Elephas maximus indicus: one gene and its partners. The protein of the gene in region 3 interacts with the protein of the main gene of each other region in a pairwise test. Links are inferred from orthologs where the notes say so. Each region holds a gene or a part of one and is shown on either strand. Other genes may lie near its edges. The genes, in order: AKAP5, C21H16orf74 and PPP3CA.

What was found.
Region 1: the proteins of PPP3CA (region 3) and AKAP5 interact in binary tests that used the Homo sapiens proteins (3 or more experiments, as listed by UniProt). The link is inferred for Elephas maximus indicus from reciprocal best matches to the Homo sapiens genes PPP3CA and AKAP5.
Region 2: the proteins of PPP3CA (region 3) and C21H16orf74 interact in binary tests that used the Homo sapiens proteins (3 or more experiments, as listed by UniProt). The two-hybrid records come from large-scale screens. The link is inferred for Elephas maximus indicus from reciprocal best matches to the Homo sapiens genes PPP3CA and C16orf74.

What each region holds. Positions count from the first base shown.
Region 1 is NC_064828.1:76,766,849-76,774,221, forward strand, and holds the start of AKAP5 (A-kinase anchor protein 5), read left to right. Parts: upstream 1-4,306; 5' UTR 4,307-4,458; intron 4,459-5,530; exon of another isoform or gene 5,531-6,428; coding exon of another isoform or gene 6,429-6,456; intron 6,457-7,373. UniProt on the Homo sapiens protein: Multivalent scaffold protein that anchors the cAMP-dependent protein kinase/PKA to cytoskeletal and/or organelle-associated proteins, targeting the signal carried by cAMP to specific intracellular effectors.
Region 2 is NC_064839.1:51,496,317-51,503,814, forward strand, and holds the start of C21H16orf74 (uncharacterized protein C16orf74 homolog), read right to left. Parts: upstream 3,076-7,498; 5' UTR 3,000-3,075; intron 146-2,999; 5' UTR 128-145; coding exon 100-127; intron 1-99.
Region 3 is NC_064823.1:51,533,401-51,541,234, forward strand, and holds the start of PPP3CA (protein phosphatase 3 catalytic subunit alpha), read left to right. Parts: upstream 1-4,812; 5' UTR 4,813-5,291; coding exon 5,292-5,349; intron 5,350-7,834. UniProt on the Homo sapiens protein: Calcium-dependent, calmodulin-stimulated protein phosphatase which plays an essential role in the transduction of intracellular Ca(2+)-mediated signals. Many of the substrates contain a PxIxIT motif and/or a LxVP motif.

The DNA of each region.
Region 1 (7,373 bases), on a different chromosome or scaffold from region 3:
GGAGGGCCCATAGTCAGGAGACCACCTGAGATGGTTAGGATGGATGTAGAGTGTAGAGGGGGACTTGCCTTTTTGCCATATACCTATGTTTTTTTTTTTTTAATTTTCATCAAGGAAGTGTTGCTCATACAGGTTTTAGTCCTGACCTTCCTTGGAACTCTCTTTTCTATCATAGCTTTAGCACCATTTCCTGTATTTTATTTTTAAATTAATAGACTTTGCACCGTTTATTTTTAAATTTCCCAAGAAGAGTGGTCATATATCACTAACCTTACTTAGTTATGTATCACTAACCTTTCTACCCTTTTGGCTCAGCAAATATTTATTTAGCTTCTGCTGTGTGCCCGGGCTCTCCCCTTCCCTGCTGAAGATTTCTTCTCAAATAGCCCTTCTTCTCCTCTTGTTCTTTATCCTCTGTATGTTTTTCCTCTCCCATTTTTTTACTCTCTTTTCAAACCCCTTGTCTTCCTGCTTTAGATCCTTCCAGAGGACATTGCATCCTCATGGGTACCAGTGCTAAACACTACTGACCTTGGCATGTATTATGTTTTTCCTGGTGTCCTTGGTTTTATTGTTTTTAATCCTCTGGATTCACATCAGTGTTGTAGTTCAGTCACTTTTACAGTCCAAAGGAATGGGAGCAGTGCTTTCGGAGGTGTATGGCAAAGGGGTCATGAGTAGTACAGAGCCTGGTTTTACTGCTTAGAGCCTTACTCATCTCTCTGCCTCCATTTCCTCCCCATGGAAGTGTGGGCACTGTTGATAAACACCTCATGAGGGTGGTTGTGAAGATAAAGAAACAAGCCAGCGAAGACAATTTGCACAGTGCCTGGCACATTGTAAGCACTCAGTATTGTCAGATACATCCAAAGCATCACTTGGGTCCTGTTCGCACGGAAATGCAGAGTTCATTATTTCTGACATTTGTTAAAATGTTCTGTAAAACTTCATCTGGAATGGGATTTGCTGAGAATTCAGTTTGTAGATGCATGAAGGAAGCATGTCTACTGGCAGACATAGTGACTGTTAAAGATGCCTCATCTTAAAGGATGTAGTCCTTGTATCCCCCCTAAAGCGATGTGAATTTAAATCCATAATACTGATAGAGTGGTGAGCACAATTGGAAGAAAAGGGAAGAGTGACATTTATAAGCAAAACATTATAAACAAAGCCCTAATAGAATAAATACTCCAAACTTTTTATCAGTTGTTGCTTGGAAGGAATGCACCATCACCGATGCAAAAATTTTCCTAAGTATAGGTAAAACATGCCTTCAGTACAAATCCAAATGGTACAGCTTTTTCCACTTGGCAGTTTATCTTGGAGATCTTACTTCATCATCAGTTAAAGATCCACGTTTCAGTGGATCTTTATGACTGCGTAGTATTTAAACAGTCCTCTACCGATAGACACCATTGTTTGATGTTTTTTGCTAATACAAATACTGTGGCAGTGAATATTCTCATATGTATCTTTTCACTTTGTGTGGAAATAAATTATAGGATAAATTCCTATCCTAGCAAAGGAATTTATCCTATAATAAATAATTTATAGGATAAATTCCTAGCAATGAAATTGCTCAGAGGGTGGCCTCTAGCTTCCAAATGGAAGCAGACCTTTGGTTGGAAGTGTGTAGGGATAATAAGCATTAATAGAACAAATCTGTAAATTAGGTTTATATCCCCATTTTACAGAAAGGCAAACTGCAAGATTGCATTGCTATTGCCTGCCTCAGCCGGGGTTTGTTTCCACCTCATCTGACTCCAAAGCCTCTGCTCTTTACTATCATACTGCCTCTCACAGCTCTTCCTTGAATGCTTTCTGGCCAGGCTGTACTGAAATGGACTTCCCATTTTTTGAGAGATGGAAAGCTGTGCCCATTTCACATCCCTTCAGAAGGAAGAGGTGATAAAAGGTAGGAGCAGCAGAGGAGAGAAATGAAGAGGTTAGGGAGGCTGCTGATCTGTCTGGCATGCATGAGTTTTGTGGAAATGACTTCTCAATCTTTGATAAAGAAGAGGTGTCACAAGCACAAGCTTACAGACGCCATTTCCGTAATAAAAGATCATAAACAAAAAATAAGACCTATATTAAACACCTACAAAAGCATAAATGCCTGGGGTATCTATTAGTATGGGTTGCCAGAGAAGATTCAGCACCTTTAGCTGGGGGCTAGGAGTCCAGATTACTGGCCTTCCTGCATCTGCTACCCTTCTCTGGGCTGCTAATGCTTCCCTCCCCTAATTAGTAATATTACTGATAAACAGATGGGAGCTCCTTTAAGCTGCACCTCAGATGGCTTTTGCTGTGCGTTGGTGATTTATATATACTCAATTCAAAAGAGACAGCGTTTGTGTCTTCGCTGTAAAGCAGATGGCAGCAGAATTACTGTCGAGCTCTTGTTAGCTGGTGCAACCCTGACAGTGCCCACACGGTGTCCATGAGCAGGTCAAACCACGAGAGGACTGGAGTCACACGTTCACTTAATGGTGTGCATGGGAAAAGGGCTGGAGGGTTTGTTTCCAGAAGGTTCTCTCTAAAATGTAAGGATTGTGAATAAGGAATAATAAACCACTTCTGGTAGCTACAGGCCTGGGCTGTAGGTGGGTAGAGACTAGGATGGGGAGACATGGTATGATCAGTATTATTCAGATAAATATGCAAGCTATTTTATTGGAACACTGTATCTGGTGATATTAACAAGATAAGCTGTAGGTAGGATAATTTCTCATCAAATTGGAGAGGTATATTTCTAGCCTGTTTCCCATTATATAATGAAAAGCTACTAATGGAGTAGTAGACAACGATATGGGTAATAGCTTAAACAGCCTGTCACTTAAGTGAGTTCAGGAATGACAGGTTTCTTTCATGTGTGAGGTACTGGATACATTTTGAAAAACATCATAGATACGGCATTGGGTTCTAGTCACATCCTAACGAAAAATCGTTGTATGTAAGTGAAGCCCTAGTGGCACAGTGGTTAAGCGTTCAGCTGCTAACCAAAAGGTCAGCAGTTCGAATCTACCAGCTGCTCGGAAACTCTATGGGACAGTTCTACTCTGTTGTATAGGGTTGCTATGACTCGGAATCCACTCAGTGGCAGTGGGCTTGGTGTGTAAGTGTGTGTGTCTGTGGTGGAAGGCAGCAATGAACTGTATGTAAAATACCTTAAAGAAATTCCCTTTGACTAAAAAAATTACGTCTTATTTCAAAGCCATTTCCAGTTCCTTTCCCCAGCATTTTTTTTTAAAGAAAGGCAAATGGAGTAAGATCTACAAGTCGCTAAGGTGGCCGTTATTGTTTTAACCTGTCCCTTGTTTCATTTCCCATTACCTCTTAGTAAGACAGCTATTCTGCCCTCTCCTCATGTAGATAACCAAACCAAACCCACTGCCATCGAGTCGATTCCGACTCATAGCGACCCTATAGGACAGAGTAGAACTGCCCCATAGAGTTTCCAAGGAGCGCCTGACGAATTTGAACTGGTGACCTCTTAGTTAGCAGCCGTAGTACATAACCACTACACCACCAGGGTTTCCCCTCATGTAGATAAGCTCATCTTATTTTTGTCTGGAAATGGCAACTCCCTTGTGTGCTAAATTGAGAAACCTTGGCTCTCAATTAGGATTGGCATCTCCATTGGTTATGGATGGCATGGTTTTCCTTTAGCTTGTTTAAAGTTCAAAACTAGCAGTCAGCAGGGTTAGCAGCCCACCTGAGGATATGAAGGATATTTTCACCAACTTGTGTTTGTGAAATGAACAAGGCTAAATTGAATTCTTAATTACAAGTAAACCAGATGCTTACAGATTTTCCTGTATTACAGCTCTTGTGTCTAACTTCTACCTGTAAATTTAAGAGCTTGACAATTTAGGTTCCACTTTGCTTTTGTGTCCTGAGTTCTTTCCTCAGTAAGTCTCAAAGGAGACTACAGAAAGGTAAAATATAATCCTGTAGAAAGTCCACAGATTTAGCCACCCAAAGATCATGATCCTATTGAATGGAAATAAGCCCAGTCGTTCTTCACTCCACTTTAATAGGTTCATCTTCAGGATGGTGTGCTGAGAGGGGGGCTGGAGGAGGAGGCGGGAGTTGTGGCCCTTCCTGGAACATTCTGTCCTCGAATATGTGTGGTGCATCTGTCAGGAACTCACAGCTCCAGCTCAGGAATGCCCTTGCAGTTAATATTAAACCCAAAGTAATTCACCTTAAGCTCCCATAGCAACATCTTTCATTGGCTATAAGTTAACACTTTATGTGTATAATAAGTACTTGGGGTGCTTTGCAAAGTAGCCAGCAATTCATTTAGATAAAAGGCTCAGGAAATGCATGAAAATACACAACCTCGCCAATCAGACAGAAGGTAGATGCCTTTCTCTGCGAGTGGAGTTGTGAGGAAAGCAGCTTGATTGAGAAGAGCCTGACAAAGCAGACACCTAGAGGGACCTAAAGGAAAACGTGGGTACTCGCAAGCTACCTCGACTTAACTTAGAAATATGTTAAGGTATAAAAGATAGACCAGGCTGGGTCCCTGTGCCCTTCAGCCCTGGTCAGCATGGATGTAGACACTCCTGCAGATCACAGCGTTCTTAGGCACGCAGGTGACCTCCTAGACCCGGGAGACTAGCGTCTGGGCCTGGGGCTTCTGGGAGACCGACAGTGAACCTTGATAATTACCTCATTACACTCAAACCCACTCCTGGGAAAGTTTTGTTTGTTTTGGTTAATATACTATGTCATTTTCTACCCAAACGGGATCTCTATGCACAGTTTCCAACCCTGCTTTTAAAATTTAGTATCGGCTGTGTTTTTAAACACAGCCCATACCAAATTCTTAAAGGAGCCCTGGTTGTGCGGTGGTTAAGCGATCCGCTGCTAACCAAAAGGACGGTGTTTCAATCCACCAGCTGCTCCTTGGAAACCCTATGGGGCAGTTCTACTCTGTCCTGTAGGGTCGTTATGAGTCGGAATCGACTCAAGGGCAGCGGGTTTTTAGTGTTCTTAAATGGAGCCCTGGTGGCACAGTGGTGAAGAGTTCGACTGCTAACCATTAGATTAGCAGTTGGAATCCACCAGCCGCTCCCTGAAAATCCTATGGGGCAGTTCTAATCCGTCCCATAGGGCCGGTGTGAGTGGGAACTACAGCAGTGGGTCGGGTGTCCTCAAATATTCGGGGAGGGGGGTGGATTATAACGGTACTGCCTATAATTTGAAGCTGGATTTCGCTATTTTGCGTCTCAGAAAATAGGGACTTAGTACTATCGTCCCCTTCCCCATCTTCCTGCTGTTTCTCTATGGTCCCCTGGCCCTTGCCCTGATGTGATCCGCAGTGGGATTCGGGACGGGGCTAGGAGCTCGAAGGTCTGCTCCCACGTGGCAGGACACACCGTTCGCAGGTGGCCCCGGACCTCCCCCCCGCCCCTCCTCCCCCCGCCCCTCCCACCGCAGCGCCGCGCCACCGCCCCCCACCCCCGCCCTGGCCCCGCCCCGCGCCCGCCCGCCCGCCCGCGGCTCCGCGCACATTGGCGCGGCTGGGGAGGGGGCTCCGCCCGGCTGCGGTCCCTGTGCAGCCGGCCGCTCCCTCACCCGCCTGTCCGCGGCTGCCCGCTGCCTGGACCCCCGGCCCCGCGCGCGCGCCGACCTCGGGAGCAGGGTGGCCAGGGACCCCAGCCGCCCTCGGTAAGTAGAGGCGGGGCGGGGAGGCTGCGGCAGAGGAGGGTCCCAGGCAGTGTCTGGGGTCGCTACTGGGCGGAAGCCGCCCCGCTGGACAAGGGAATTCGGGCCCTCGAGGAGGAACCCCGAGCCTGAACCGAGGAAATTGCCAGCCAGGCGACCCTCAGCGCTGCCCACCCACCTCGGCGTTCCGCCTCGTCGAAAAGCATAGGTTGCCGGTTGCTCTTTTCCTTCTTTACCCTTTTTTGGGAAAATGTGATCCTGAGTTTCTGGTCATTATAATGTTGCAGATAGCTCGAAGCTGGGTTGTCTGTTCCACATCCCCAGCACCTTCCTTTCTGAGTACTTTACCCTGCGCGCTGTCTCCTACCACAGTGTCCTTCCTCCAGGAGGAAGCTTCGGGGTCCGTATCTGGTGCCGGGAAAGATTCGCTGCTTCCCTTAGGAAATGATTGCTCTTTGCCTCCGTGCTTCTCCGCTAGCGGGATGAAGGGAAGGTGGGTGTTTCCTGTGGCATTAAACTTGCGGTGTTGTCAGGGAATGACTGAAGAGGCTCTTCAGATTTCCTGAGGTGACAAAACTACCCTTGCAGGTTAGGGGCGAATCATATGCAGTCTAACATATTCTGCAAAGTTGTGATGTCTACAAACTGCACCCCCCCCCCCCATTTCACTTAGGTTTCTGTTTGGATATTTGTTTTATTTCTGCAGTGTGATATACATTCAAGACAGCGTGTCCAGAAATTGTCTTTGGCCATTACAGGTTAGTTTCCAGTGATGCATTCCTGAAAAAAAAAAAAAAAATTCCTGAACATGATCTAATTTCATGACTTCTATCAGTAATAAACCACCTGCTTAATAAAAACGCTCCGGCACTGAGAACTCACAAGAGGTGAGAAGACTTACAGCTAAAGTCAGCTGCAGTTCTAGTTAGTGCCTACTGAGGCATTACATGAGGACATAAGATGTTCTTATTTTAGGTCCATCATTGTTCTAAGCTGAATGACTGTCAGAGGCATGGAATATGAAACACCCAAACTAAGAGAATATTTACTTGTATCATAAACTGATTTTCAGGATTCCAGTTCCTTCTCCAGTTTACACAATGAAGGACTACACAAAACAAAGCTCACCACTGAGAGACTTACATAAAAAATAGTAATAAAAATAGTACAAGGAAAAAGCCCTTTATTTAAGTACATCCATCAACAAAAATTCGCAGGATTTTTATTAAAGTTTCCCCTCACATTTCTGCTCTTTGATATCGTTATACCATTTTGTGAATTATTTTTAAAAGTGCCTTTATATTTATATATAACTAATCAATTTGCCAACTGCATAGTTTATCAATTTATATTTGGATTTAAATGAGTTTCAGAACCAAGAAAATAAAATATAAAGAATTTCAAAAACTTGGTTTTAAAATAGCAAGAACCGTCTAATCTTGGTTCAATTATGAGTTGTTGAGCTGTAAGGTTTTTAAGGTTAATTAAGTGACCACCAAACGATGTCATAAAACGTTGACTAATGTAGCTAGTACTTGTATCTAGTATAGATTAGCATCTTCAAGCAATTCATCTTCTGAAGAAAATCTTACAGCCCAGTTTATCACAGTGCTTCAGAGAATGGGCTTTGGAAACACAATCCATGGTTGAATTGGAGCTCTGCTGCCTACTAGCTTTGCAATCTTGGACAAATTGCT
Region 2 (7,498 bases), on a different chromosome or scaffold from region 3:
AGAAGCCTCTCCCCCCGGGGTTGGGTTGGGTTTACCCTCCCACCCTCTCCAGCCCCCAGGCCCTCCGTAAGAACTGGTGGGGGAGCTCCCACGTCTTACCTTTCAGGCAGGACAGCTTAAGCCCCATGTCGGCACCCCTGCAAGCCTGCAGAGAGAGGACAGATTCAGAGAGGGGCGGGCAGTGTGGGTGACTTGTGTCGTTGCACACCTAATGGGTGCAGAACAGGAAATAGTGGCCCAGAGAAACCACCGGCTGCTGTGAGGTCACGGCGCCTGCTGACTGACTACATCTGGCCTCAGAGAGGGAAGTCTGGGCTGATGGAAACTTTCAAGTGCATCAAAGCTAAATATACTGAAGGCAAGTGTGGCAGCCGCTGCTGCAGGGAGGGCAAAGTTCAAGGTGAGGCTGTGGCCGGGGCTGATGATGTGGGACAAAAACCCTGCAGCCTTCCTGGGGAGCAGCCCCAGGGACTATGAGGACCCTTGGAGTGGGGCAAAGCCCACCAGTCTTAGCGCCTCTTCCCTACCACCACTGCCCCTCTCGTAAGATGCAGATCCCTCAGACACTTGGGGATTAAGCTATAACAGCCGCTGGATCCTCAACCCATAGACCTTAATGACCCAATCAAGGTCCCCAACAATAATTCTGCTACACGACGACCCCTAGCATGCTGAGTACATGGAAAATAAAATAACATCTGACAGCACTGGAGCGCCATCCGTGCCCGTGACATTTACTCCTAGGAGGTGCTTCGACTGTTCCCATTTTGCAGACATGGAAATCAAGGTGCAGAGAGGTGACATCACCCACCCAAGGTCATGCAGCTAACTAGAAGAGGAGTTGGGATTCGGACCCAGTACTGCCCTGTCCCTATACTGGAACCTCACTCTTGAGGGGTCTTGTTTCCATGTTGGAGGGTCCCAGCGTCTTTGAGCTGACAGGGGAGCCATTGAGGTTATTCCTTGAATCACAGAGAACTGGACAGCCACCTGTGAGCCAGGCCCATGACACGCTGGGTTGGGAAAGAGGGGTGGGGGGCGACCGTGAAGATGCACCTCTCTGATCTTGGACTCAGGCGTGTGACAACCACGTGATGACTAGGGGCCCCACTCAACTCAGAGATCCATTGCTTCTTGGCTTACAGGGAGGCTGTGTTTCCCTCCAGCTGCCCCAGCTGGTAACTGAGCGTGGCAGGGACCTAATGCAGGCCCGTTGCTGGGAGGTGCAAGATGCCCCAGACTAGCGACTCAGGCCAAGAACACCCCGATGGCCCTGCCAAACCTTCCTTGGCTATCACAGCCCATCCTAGGGCTCCTAAGGGAGGCTTCTGCCCACCCCTTCTGGTTCTGGCCCAGCAGCACCACTGGCACCCCAAGGAGCTTGTCAGCAATGCTGCCTCTCAGGCCAAAGGACCAGAACCTGCATTTTAACAAGACCCCCAGGGATCCCTGTGCTCCTTGAGGTCTGAGATGCTCTGGTCCAGGCCAGGAATCACAGAGCCTGACCATGAAGATGACAGGACAGGGATGCTGCCAAGGGATTGGCAGCTGGGAGTCTGGGGGATATGCCAGACTAGGTGGGGGTGACAGCCAGGAGCAGCCAGTCTGAAGGAAGAACTAAATAAGGTTTCCATTTCAGCCATGTTGGATTTTGGGGGCTGTAGCAGGTGCCACTGGAGGTACCCACTAGGAGGTTGACTGGAGGATTGGGGAGCAAGGGTAGGGCTGGGTTGACCAGGGCATTCAGGTACAGAAAGTGAGTAGGGGGAGGAAAGGGGGAGAGAGATGATGTGCATTTTAACAAGACCCCGACTGATTCACTGAGCATGGCCCCTCGCTGCACCTGGAATCATCCGGGGAGCATTTTTTTTTTTTTAATTGCAGTTAAGTATAAAAACCAAATCAAACCATTGCTGTCAAGTCGATTCTGACTCATAGCAACTCTACAGGACAAAGTAGAACTGCCCCATAGAGTTTCCAAGGAGCGTCTGGTGGATTCGAACTGCCGACTTTTTGGTTAGCAGCCATAGCTTTTAACCACTGTGCTACCAGGGTTTCCTGTGGTATGTATATAAACCAAAAAAAGAAACCCACTGCCTTCGAGTCCACTCCAACTCAGTGACCTTGTAGGATACAGTAGAACTTCCCCATAGGGCTTCCAAGGCTGTAAACCTTTATGGAAACAGACTGCCACATCTTTTTCCCTCCAAGTGGCTGATGGGTTTGAACCGCCGACCTTTTGGTTAGCAGCTGAGTGCTTTAACTACTGCACCACTGCTCCCTTCAGTAAATATATATATATAACAAAACAGTTTCCATTTCAACCATTTTTATGTATACAGCTCATTGACATTCATCTCATTCATGTTATACGGCCATCACCACTATCCATTTCCTAAAGTTTTTCATCGGTATTTAAAAAATACCGATGCCTGGGTCCCACGCCCGGAGATTCCGGGGTATTTGGTCTAGGTGTGGCCTGGGCACCAGGGTTTTTAGAATCAGCTCCCCGGTGATTGTAATGTGCAGGATGGGACACCCAGGAGTGCACCCTTCCTCAAGGGGAGAGGAGGGGCCAGGGCTGGCAGGAAGAGTCTGTGGGAATCAGAGTTCTGCCTCTGGAGCTCTATAGGCACTGGGCCTGTCCTAGCCCTTCACATGTATCCATGGTCAGTTCATCCTCACAGCAGCCCCATGAGGTTGGGCCATTCCCATCCCCATTTCACGGATGGGGAAATTGAGGTATGGAGGTTGTTGTTGTTGTTGTTAGGTGCCATCGAGTTGGTTCCGACTCGTAGCAACCCCATGCACAACAGAACGAAACAGTGCCCAGTCCTGCACCACCCTTACAATCGTTATGCTTGAGCCCATCATTGCAACCACTGTGTCAATCCACCTCATTGAGGGTCTTCCTCTTTTCCGCTGACCCTGTACTTTGCCAAGCATGATATCCTTCTCCAGAGACTGATCCCTCCTGACAACACAGAGAGGTTACTTACTGGTTGGTAACTCAGCTTGTGAAACACTTGTACAGTGCCACTTCCCAGAAGAATTACCCAGAGCTCATAGGTTTGGGCCCCCAAAAGCTGCCTTATAGGTTAAAAAATATCCATCTCAAAACATTCTGGGCTGAAAAAAAAAAAAAAAAAAGATCCTGAGAAACACAGCTTTAACATCTCCTAGTAGCACAGGTCATACAGGTGGCAAGTGGTGGAGTCGAGATTTGAACTCAGTACTTTGATGCCAGAGTCCACACTTTCCACCACCAGGCAGACTGGAACTCCTTGGCATTTTCCTAGAACGTTCCTTGAAACAGTGGGAGATGCACTCCCTTCCACCCTGGCAGACGTAAGGTTCTTAATATGCCGCTCCAAGCACCACCGCATCCCTGAAAAGTTATCCTGAACCCATAGTCTTTGACCTCCAAAGCTGTCTTACAACTTCAAAAATGCCTAAACACCCATCTCAAAACACTGTGGGCCAAAAAATAAAAATAAAAAAGAGCCAGGTTGAACCACATCTCTGGGCCTATTTTTAGCTACCTCTGGTGCACTGGGTGGGAACCAGGAGTGGCCCTAGCTTGGATTCAGGTGATCAATGGGACAACAAGCTGCACCAGGGTCAGGCACCAAGGGATCATGGCTATGTACTGCAAATCGACTTCAGGTTTTTAAAATTCCCAAATGGAGAATTTTCAAAAACTGAGTTTTCTCATCACGACACATATTGCTGTCACTTTCATGGTGATTCTATTTCCCCACAAGGACAAGAGGAAGAAGGCAGGCTCCAGGAAGAAGGATTGGCCTAGGGGAAAAAGGGGTTGTGTGACCTTAGACACTTCCAATCCAGGCACAGTGACCTCCTCTGTGAAATGCCATGCCACCAGCCTGGACAGGGCCTGAGACACAGTCATCAGTGTTGTCATCATCATCATCTGATGGATTAAATAGTGTCCCCTCAAAAGATATGTTGAAATTCTAACCCCTATACTCGTCAATGTGACTGGGTTTGGAAACAGGGTCCTGGAAAATGTTATCATTTAATATGAGGTCATACCACAGCAGGGTGTGTCCTAATCCAAGCTGAGTGGTGTCCTTATAAAAGAGAGATAGAGGGAAGACAATAGAGTTAAGCTGCAGCCTCAAGCTAAGGATCGCCCAGGGTTACCAGAAGAGCCTCCCTTAGAGCCTTCAGAGAGGGCACAGCCCTGCTGACACCCTGGACTTGGACCTCTGGCCTCCAGAACTGTGAGAGAATAAATTTCTGTTCTTGAATGCCACCCAGTTTGTGGTCAGGAAGGACCAGTCCCTGCAGAAGGACATCATGCTTGGTAAAGTAGAGGGTCAGTGAAAAAGAGGAAGACCCTGAAGGAGATGGATTGACCAATGGGCTCCAACATAGCAACAATTGTGAGAATGGTGCAGGACCAGGCAGTGTCTCCTTCTGTTGTACACACAGTCAATATGAGCTGGAACCACGGGAAGGCACCTAACAACAGGAGTTTGCTGTACTTTGTTTTGGCAGCTTCAGGACACTAAGAAAATCATCATCATACAATGTGAATAATGTAGTATTACTACTGAGCATGTCTAGAAGACCACTCGGGATGCCCCCTGTGTGGCCCCAAGTCCACATTGCAGCTCCCGTTCCAACTCTTCTATGTGGGAGAATGTCCTCCAGGAATGGATTTACTCAGAGTGTAGATGGAGTTCGTCCACTCAGTCTGTGATGGGGGGCTGCCAGGCTGGAGGGCACCCCCTGCAGAGATGGCAGATGCTTTCAAGGGAGAGTGCACCCCTTGGGTTGGCTTGGGATGCTTTGGAAAGGAGGAGTTAAAGCTGGCTTTTACATCCCACTGAGTGGAAACCCTATCAGACTCCTAACCATGGGGCGTGGTGCTACTTTTACCCCATCATCGTGATGACAACAGCTGATATCAACCTAATGCTTCTAATATGTCAAGTCCTGGGTCAAGCGCATCATAAAAATGATAGCATGGAACCCTAACGATATCCTCCTAGATACACATTACGACCATCCCCAGTCAAGTAGCTTCCCAAGGGTCCGCAGCTAGTAAGCTGCAGCATATTAGCACCACAGTTACGCCTCCAGCTATGTTGTTCTACACGCCACCGTTCTACAGACATTCAGTTTGTTACACACAAAAATACTACATACTTTTGTCATTAAAAGATGAAGATTTAATGGGAGGGGGCGCCCTTAGCTTGGCATTGGGAGCCACGAGGCCCCTGAGAACTGCTGGTTTAGGTGTGTTTTCTCCCTTTCACACGTTCTCAAAAAAAAAAAAAAAAAACACGTTCTCAGGAGTGTAAAAAACCTCCCTTTCATACTTAATCAGGCTGTTTATGTTCCCTTCCAAATATCAGATTGTTAATTATTTGCACAACAGCTTGAAGTAGAACAGGTTCGTTCTTGCACCCAGGCAGAATAATCTCTCTAAAGCCAAATGGCCTCAGATTCTATCTCGGGTGACAGGGACAATTATAAAATAGCCTTGAAAATAGGGGCCGCCAACTACCAGCCCGCAGCAGTGACTGCCAGCCCGCAGCAGTGACTGCTAGACAGCTCAACCTCCACAGGTTTTCCAAGCAGAGAGAAAAGAAAAATAAGAAAACTCTTACAGATGAATGGATAAACAAAATGTGGTACATACACACAACAGAATATTACCCAGTCATAGAGAGAAATGAAGTCCCAACGCATACGATGACATGGACGAACCTTTAAGGCATTATGTTGACTGAAGTAAGTCAATCACAAAAGGACAAATATTGTATGACTGAGCTTATATGAAAAAGCTAGAATAGGCAAATGTGTAGAGACTAAAGGTTACCTGTGGTTACCAGGGGCGGGAGGGAGGGGTAAAAAGCGGAGTCATTGTTTAGGAAGCCCTGAGTTTCTGTTTATGGTGATGAAAAATTTGGCAACAACTATTGGTGATGGTTGCACAACACGAAAAGCACTGAATTGGCAAATGTTGTGTAATATATATACATATTTTGCAACAATATAAATTTAAAATTTTTGTAAAATAAAACTCTTTGTACAAGGAGAGAAGTAACCAGGCTTTAGCACAGCCTGTTGAAGACACAGACCTTGCTTTTAGAATTCTGACTCCAATGTCTGGTGAAAAGTTACTACTTTGGGGGATCGTGGGGGTCTGGGAGTGTGCAGGAAGCCCTCCTGGACTGAATCATTTGACTCTAGAGCTGGAAGCGCCCATAGAGTTAGGGTTGCCAGATAAAATACAAGCTACCCAACTATTGTATGGGGACACGCACTAAAAAAATTATCTTGCTTATCTCCAATTCAAATTTAATTGGCATCCTGTATTTTTCTTTGCTACATCTGGCAACCATAGGCAGAGGTAGTCTGATCTCTTAAGGCCTGGGCTTCCCCAGATGAGGAGGCCCAGGGAGGGAAAGTGAGAGAGCAGTGGAGTCCAGTCTTGATGTCTGTAGAACCACCTCCCAGAAGAAGTCACAGTAAGTCTCTGAGCTCATAATTCACCATGAGCCTCACCTCCTTAACAAAGACGTCCTTTAAGGATGGAGGAAAGGGCAGAGTCATAGCTGAAGAATGTGACAGTTAGTCTAGGTGGGGGGACTCAACAGGCAGAACCAGGTTCCACCCTAGCTGTGCAAGGTCAGGGAAACTCCTTCAGCTCTCTGCAGACACAGGGAGGAAATACTGACAGGGTAGCCATGCGGGGCTCCCAGCAAGCACGCAGCACATCTTGGTGTTCTTCCTTCTTTAGAAAAAGCACGTTCTTTCTGCAACAGGATTAGGATTCCTGCAATTCCAGCCAAAGGAGCCGTGCATGGATGCTTCAAGTGTTAACATGAGTACACAGAGTGCAATCGGGAGTGGCACCCACAGGGCTGCAAGACTGCAAGCCAGGCAAGCTGCTCTCAGGGAGGTGGGGAGCTGCTGGGACAGTCACACCATAGCCTGACAGGAAGTGAAAGAGGATGGGGGTGGGGTGGGCACCCACCGAAACCCCCACCTGATCTCTGTTGCTGGGCAGGGTCTGGGACACCTGGGGCCCAGCCACGGTCCACCCACCCATTGGCCATGTGACTCTCAGCAAAGCACTTGCCCACTGCCCCCTTGGGATCGCTGTGTGACAATTCATGCAGCTCAAGGCTTATATGATTTATGCACCTTTCTGAAGGGTATAGGCCAATGAAAAATGTTTACGCTGCAGGGGAGGTGTTCCTGGGGGCTGGAAACATCCTGCTTCTTGATGTGGGTGTATACGTTTGATGTGTGCCTATGTATATTACACCTTAATAATTTTTATGGGGGGGAATCTGTATTTGGGGGTCCTAGAAGATTGCTCTAGCTTCTGCCACGTTGTTATCACTAGCTGCGGTCAAGTCGGCCCCCACCTGGTGGAGACCTCCAGTTCACGGCAAATCCATGCACAACAGAACAAAATGGTGCCTGGTCCTGTACCATCCCCTTGATCAGTTGT
Region 3 (7,834 bases):
ATGTCAGAGGCATCAGCTTTCAGATTATAAATCAAACTCCCATACACATACATGGTCCCATCAGGACTGGCTGTCTACTCTGCAGGTTCTTCAGCATCATGGTCCAACAACTCAAGTGAAAATAGGTCAAACGTACTCCTGTCTACCACCAACTACTTAAAGCAAAGTGCATGTCTCAGGTGAGCCATACTCAGAAGTTATTATTCAACTCTTAATGTCCAAATGATAGTATATTCATCCAGGAACTGATAGAAATTCCAAAATTTTAAAAGCAAGTTCTTATCAAAACAGGATATAAATATAAATCCCTTATTGCTTTTCTTAAAAAAAAAAAAAAAGCCTCTGGGTCTAGGAGAGCACTTAATAGCAAACTAAAATGTTAATTTACTGTGATCTGTACCAATGGACGTAAGTTGCAACTTGTAGCATTTAAATCGACATATTACCCCAAATCCTGAATACTTTGTTTTTTTATACATATTTATTTTCATGACTAGTTTTGATGAAGCTAATAGTAACATTAGTTTGTATTCTCCAGTAGCAAGAGAAAGTAACACTTACACTTAAGTTTTTTCAAAGGTAATATGTATAATTCATATATAATAAGATTCTAAAATCATTGAATGAAGGGACTAAATCTTTGAATTTTTCTTTGTCCATACATTTATCCCTCATCTATTACAGTGCCTTGCACGGAACAGGTGTTTGAAACACAACCGGTGAATGAGTAACTCATTAACAGAAAATCACAGTCTGATGCTTATGCGTTAAAAAAAAAAAAAAAGAATATTTTTAGTTTTCTGGTAGTTCTATTAAATAATAATCGAACAATAAATTTGAATTTTGGAACTTATATAATAATTAGATAACATTTATATATTAATTTGTTTGGTAATACTAGCTACTATAACAAACACATTCCCACATTTTAATGGAGTAATATAATAAAAGTTTATTTCTTGTTCATGTAAAAGTCTAATGCAGGCTTTCCTCATAGATGGACAGCCTTCCTCCATGTGGTGAGTCAGGGACTTAGCTCTTTGCATCTCCTGGTCCTGCATGACCCCAAGCCTTGGAAGCCCCTGCATTCAGCTAGGCAATAGGGACCAATAGCCTGGAGAATGCTTATCTGTTGCATAACTGCCTTGATTTGCAAGTGATAAAACACTTCAGCCTGAACTAGTCACAGGGACCTACTTAGATGCAAGAGACAGCAGGCTGGGAAGTGGAATCCCTAGCTAGTCAGACACTTTCAAGAGAGAATTATTCTACGCTAAATTTTTTTTTTTTTTAAGGAAGTAGAAACTCTAATTTCTGGCAGACTGCAAGTTATCTTTTTCTTGGCAGTAATCTTTATCGAAGCAGATTACCACGTCTTTTTTTTCTCCGGTAGAGCTGCTGGTTGAGTTCAACCTGCCAGCCTTTTGGTTAGCAGCCCACTTAAACAAACAAATAACCAACCAACCAACCCAACAAACAAACCTTTGGCAGTAGAGTCAATTCTGACCCACAGCGACCCACAGGACAGAGTAGAACTGCCCCATAGGGTTTCAAAGGAGCAGCTGATAGATTCGAACTGCTGACCTTTCGGTTAGCAGCCATATATCACTTAACTAGCACTCCTTAACCTTATGCCATGATAACACGATCAAAGATTGCTTGGACAGTCTAGCAGAACAAAAACATGATCATAATAGATACCTGAATTAAAAAGATGATTTGGTTGTCTGTTTCAGCAGGCCAAGTATATAGACAAAACTAAAGCAAAAAAAAAAAACCGTTGCCATTGCGTCAATTCCGACTCATGGCAACCCTATCGGACATACTAGAACTTTCCCCTAGAAGCAGCTGGTAGATTTGAACTGCTGACATTTTCGCAAGCAGGTGAGTTCTTAACCACAATGCCACCAGGGCTCCGTGGACAAAATTAGTCCCTAGTTCATATACTACTGCTACTTTTCCTTAGAGCAGGGTCCAATTTTTTTTAATAAAGATGTGTCTGTGTTGCAACAGTTATGGAAGGATGCACAAAGGAAGTAAAAGTACTTGATGATAATAAGATGGGCTGTAAAGCGATTATGAGTCATCATTTTTTTTTTTTCCCCTACACATACCTCAAGTAGGAGCGTCCTAGAGTTGTAGTGGACTAAAGGGTGTGCCTGAAAGGTGTGCCTTCATTTCCTACCTATATCATAACACCTTTCTATGGTGCTGACACTTTAAGCCTTCTGATTTTGATTCAAAGGTGTTTTTCCTACACCTGGTGAATGTTAGTCCGAATAACAGTGGGCACAGCCTCTCTGTTGGCGTCCTGTGAAAGAGAATGTCTTGGCCTTGGAAGTGAGCATCCCTGGACACGGTTTTCTGCTCTTTCTCCAAGCAAGCCCTCTTCACCCACAGGCCTTGGCATCCCTCCCTCACTCTGTGCCATCTGGCGAGGGACCAACTCCCCAAATCTGCCTCAGCAACTAGCTCTGCCTGTGCTCAGGAGGCTGTTTTCAACAACCTCTCCATGAGGAGGTACAGTGGCGGCTCAGAGTTTATGTTTTCTTATTCTCTGAGAGTTGCAGTGAATCCTAGGATTTATTGAGGCCAAAGATAATTTTCTAATCATCCCCCTCCCCTAAACCAGTACCTACCACTGCGTCTGGCATAAAAAAGGAGCATGATGCACAGTTATTGAATGAATTGTCTGCCTATTACCACACACTATCCTGGGGTTAAAACCCTATGGGGCAGTTTTACTCTGTCCTATGGGGTTGCTATGAGTGTCAATCGACTAGACGGCAATTTTTTTTTTTAATCCTGGGGTTAAGAATTGGGCAACAGATTCTTGGGGCCAGTGGCAGCCTCCCTGTGCTGGTGGCACACACCCTGCATCAAGTCTCCTTTTGCTTGAAGGCCTTCGCAAAGGCTCATTGACCTTCTGACGTGTGCTCCAACTTCTTGCAGGCCACACCACTCAAGCTGCTCCAGCACCATCAGTTGGTTCCTAAAACTTTATTAGAAGTTTGGGCCTTAATCTAATCCATCTCCAAAAACTTTTTTTGTAGGCCACCTCCTACCTCCCTAAACCTTTTACCGGTCCCATTATACTAACGGTCCAATTCAGAAAATAGGAACAACCAGGTATTAAAGGAATTTGGAAGTAAAACAGGAAGGGTGGAGAGTGGTGTGAAATTTATGCAACTTTCATTACTCCCAAAGAAACTTCACCCTCTTTGCCTGGACTTGGGTGCTGAGTTGGTTTTGGTCAAGGAGAGAGGCTGTGCAGAGGTGACCTCTGGCAGAGGGAGACCCTCTCTTCAGATTCTGTGGCTCGAGGACAGCGGGTCAGAAAGCATTCCAACATTCCACCCTCCTGCGCCTTGCATCCTCTCCTTTGCTCTCCTTCCTAGGGGAGGGAACTGAGTGGGGATCTGCCTTGGGCTCCAAGGCCCTGCAGGCAAAGGGAGCACCAAGTGGGTGCCGGGTGATTGGAAACTGCAGGGAAGGAAGGTGTAGTGTCACCTGTCCCGACCAGTGGTTGCTTGCGTGTGCGAACAGGGGAAAGGCTACCCTTTCCAGTGTTTCTCCCGCCCCCCTCATTTCTCCCGGGAGACTGCAGGGCTGCCCGGGTGATTCGGAGTTGCCCGGAGTCGCTCGGACTCCCCTACCATTCTCCTTGGATAGCCCGCTCCAGCGTCCCTTAGTGCCCCGCACCCTCCGCCACGTCCCTGGTCCGCAACGTTCTGGAACCGCCACTTCCTCAGAAGGTGTGGATGCACCGGTGGTAAACAATAATAACTACAACAACGCCAACACCAAAGCCCCGATATAAAAAATAACTGTACACCTCTCACAGGGCGGAGCCCGTCTCCCCAAGGTAAGTTGTTTATTCGTCGTCGTTTTGGCGATCCTCCTTGGACAGCTGGGGCAGCGACAGCAGCTGCGCCAAAGGCCCTGGAGCTCCCCGAGCACTTCTTCCTCCGCCCTCTCACGTTTGCCTCTCGCCCCCACCCCTCCTCTCCTCTCCCTGCCTCCTCCTTCTTGCCCTCTCTCCGGCCACGCACACACTCGGAGACACCCTCGGCACTTGGCTACTCACACTGCGGCTGAACCCAGCCGACCAGGCACAGTTGCCAAAGCAGCGCGGGGGTGTATGCAGGGTTGACGGGCGGAGGCCAGACAGGGGTGGGGGTGGCACGGTAGAGCTCCTCTCCTCCCGGCCGCGACCCTTTGGCCATTCTCCTTCCCTAAGCCCAGCTGGCTAGCAATAGTGACACCTGAGCAGGGACTAGATGGTGGAGGTGGCAGGCCCACTGGACTGGCCGCCGGGAGAAAACAGAGAGGGGGCGGACACGGCGAGGAGGAGCAGGAGGCGGGAGGAGCCGAGAGGCAGCCACCAGGCAGTGAGTGACGCGCGCGTCAGCCAGTGCGCGCCTGGGACTCCGACGTGGGGGCGGGAGGCCGGGGACAGCCGGGGAGGAGGAGGTGGCTGCTGGGGAGCTAGAGGCGGGGGCCGAGAGGAGGAAGGGGAGGAGGCGGAGGCGGGCGCGGTGGCGGCAGCAGCGGCGGCGGCTGAGGGTAGGTTGCGCCGGGACTGTGTCTGCCGAGCTCCGCGGCTGTGCCTGTGTGAGTGAAGGAGTGGCGCGAGCAGGCAGAGGCGAGCGCGGGCGAGCGCGGCGACGGGACGTCTCCGGCAGCTGCGGCGGCGGCAGCGGCAGCGGCAGCAGAGGCGTCGCTCGGTGTGTGGAAGCAGCGGCAGCAGCAGCAGTAGAGGCGGCCGCCTCTCCGCCGCCGGGGACGCTGAGGCGCGGCTGGTGGCACTGACATCGGTGGCCCTGCCTCTCCTTCCTCGCCCCCGACCCTCCCCATGTGATCGGTCTTAATCCCGGCCGTGTGCGCGCGTGGGGCTCCATTCCGCGGTGCCCGGTCTCCGTGCCGGGTGGGTGCTTGTGTGTGCGTTCTCCTCCCCATCCCCCTTCCCCCAAGAATAAAAGAAGAACCGAGAGGCGTGCTTAGAAAATAAATAAATAACCACCACACACGCGCAGCCCGGAGCGGAGTCGGTGGGGCTGGAGGCGGCGGCGAAGGAGGAGTGAAGGCGGCGGCGGCGGCGGCGGCGGAGGAGGAGGAGGAGGAGGGACGCGCGGAGAAGGCAGTAACTTTAAAGCCAGCTCAGAGCCCAGACCTCCAGCCGAGCGGTTTGCAGCGCGGCAGCGGCGGCATTGAGTGTCTGGCCCGCCAGTCCGGTCGGGGTGTGCAGTCGGACGGACGAGCAGCGCGTCGCTGTCCCCCGGCGGCTGGAGATGTCCGAGCCTAAGGCAATTGATCCCAAGTTGTCGACGACCGACAGGGTGGTGAAAGGTAAGCGGCGCGCCGCGGTCGCCCGGGTGCACCGTGTGCCGCAGGCGCCCGGGTGGCTCGCCTCCCCTCCCCCGCCCGGGGTTCTCTCCCAGCTCTAGCCAGGGACCTTCTAGGATATTGTGCAACCCTCGAACCCCCTTCCCCCGCGGCAGCCTTCCACCGCGCCTCCCACCCAGCGCCGCCTGGGGCATTTTTATTTATGGGGGTGTCAACTGGCAAATGGCTGAGCCGTGGGGAGGCGGGGGTGGCGGTGGCGGTGGCGGGAGGGGGCGCCCGGGGGGTGGTTGCTGGTAGGGTGTAGCTGCTGTGACAGAAATAGGAAGTGGGTGGCTGCTCGCAGGCGTGCATGGGATCGGGTTTATGGTTTTCTTTTGCAGAGGGAGGGGTGATTTATGGCTTTTTAAACATTAATATGGCATTTTTATGTGGCCGTGGCTTTCCACCGACTGCCTTGCTCGGGAAGTGTTTTCTCGGCGCTTCATTGCAGCAATTCCCTCCGCGCCCCCTCCCCCTCCCCTCTGGAAGGGCCTGCACAGGACTCGCGAGAGAGCGGGAGAGCGTGGGGGGTGCCCGGCGCTTCCTCCCGCGCCAGGCGGGGGCGGCAGCCAGGAGGTGGGTAGCAGAGGGGGCGCGCTGAGGGTGCAGGAGGCGGGGGACGGCCCGAGAGTCCCCGCCGCCACGGGATTTCCCCACACGCCAGATGAAAGACTTGAATAGCAGTTCTTAGACTTCCCTTGTCGCCCCTAGCCGCCCCCGACGACCTGTCACCGGTCTTGAAGGGGTGCCCGTTCGCTAGTGCACACCTTCCCAGCGGGAACCTCGCCCCGGTCGCCTCCTCCGTGTCCCTGGCACCCCCGTTGTAATGGGCTCTTCGATTTGTATTATTGTGTCTTCTCTCCCGCCACAGGGTTATATACTAGTGGGGATGGCTCTGGGCTTTTTAGGGTGGAGAAACCTGAATGCGTGGGGCAGGCAGTGGTCGCCCTCTGATTATTGCACGAGGGAATCCTCTGTCCTCTCTGTGTTCCGGATTGGAGTGGGGGAGGAACCACCCTGTGAATCCTGGAAGGACGAGAGAACAGAGCAAATTCAGCAGGATGAAGTAGTATCCATCCTTCCTGGGGTCAGGACCAAGCAAAGCAGGAATGGGCATTGGCTGTGCACCGAGCGGGACCTCTGAAATTGCAAACAGGCATCTTAGGCTGGTGTGAGTGTGTGTGTGTTTGGAACAGGGGTAGTACCTGGTGTGGCCAGAGCATCTAATGGGGCCAGGGGTAGTATCTAATGTGGCTATAAGGTCATTTGAACCATGAACCATTTGAGCCTTGAGCACTTGATGTGAAGTAACCCAGTAGGATGAAGACCATGATTACTAAACAAAAGTCCATGTGGGGGGCGGTTCAGAAATGTTCCTCGCTCCATAGAGATTTGCCCAGTTTTTTAAGTTTTTTTTTTTTCTTCATTATGGTGGTACTGGTGATGGGGGAAATTGTGTCCTTTTTTTTTTTTTTTTTTGAGAGAAAAAAGAAAAGAGAATATTTTAGTTATATTAGAACCATTCCTGCCTTCCACCCAGTATTCATTGACCCATTAAAATAACGAAGAAATAGCTCTGCACATGGCTTGAAATAAGACTACTGATACACAACTATTATTTTTTATGCATGCATATATCCTCACGTGAAGAGTCAGTTCAAATTCATTAAAACGGCTGCATTTTCTATCAGTGGCTTCTGTTGCCATTTTCAAAAATTAAGATTTTTTCTGAAATATGAGAAAATAAAATGTATTTCCCTGATGTGTGAAGTGTAGATGTAGCTCCAATCTGTATATTAAGGGCACCTATTTTCATAACAAATTAATGTGAAGCTTATAATTCAAATGATAGCAATAAACATGTTGGCAATTAAAAAACACTTGGTGTGCATACATAAGGTCACATTCCCTGTTTTAAATCACAAAATGTGAATTCTTAGTGTAAACATAAAATTGTCATCAAGTGAAAAATGAAAAAATAATTGTCTATACATTGTGGCTTGGTGCCTTTACAAGTTAATTAGATAGCTGATGTTTCGTCTTGTGTTTTTCAAGACTATATTATTATAAGTTCTAAAAACTTTAGTTTACATATTTTGCAGAACTGAAATACAAATGTGCGTATACACTCAAAATAGGAAAACTTGTTTTTACACTTGTTTTGATAGGAATCCTTATGTGAAATTTTGGTTATAGAAAAAAGTTTTGTTGATGAGTCGTGATTTTAAGGTGAGCACACTGCTACTCTTTCTCTTCTGCTTTCTTACAGACTTTGTATTGTCAGCTTAAAAAGCATTATCAAAGGTTGGTTTTAACATTTTGTCATACATATAAAACCCAGTGCATATAGTTTATACAATTAATTATTAGGGATGGTAATCGAGTTTGAGTATCAGTCTTCTAAGAAATAACATATTCACTTGAATATATGTGTTTAATGGAAAATATG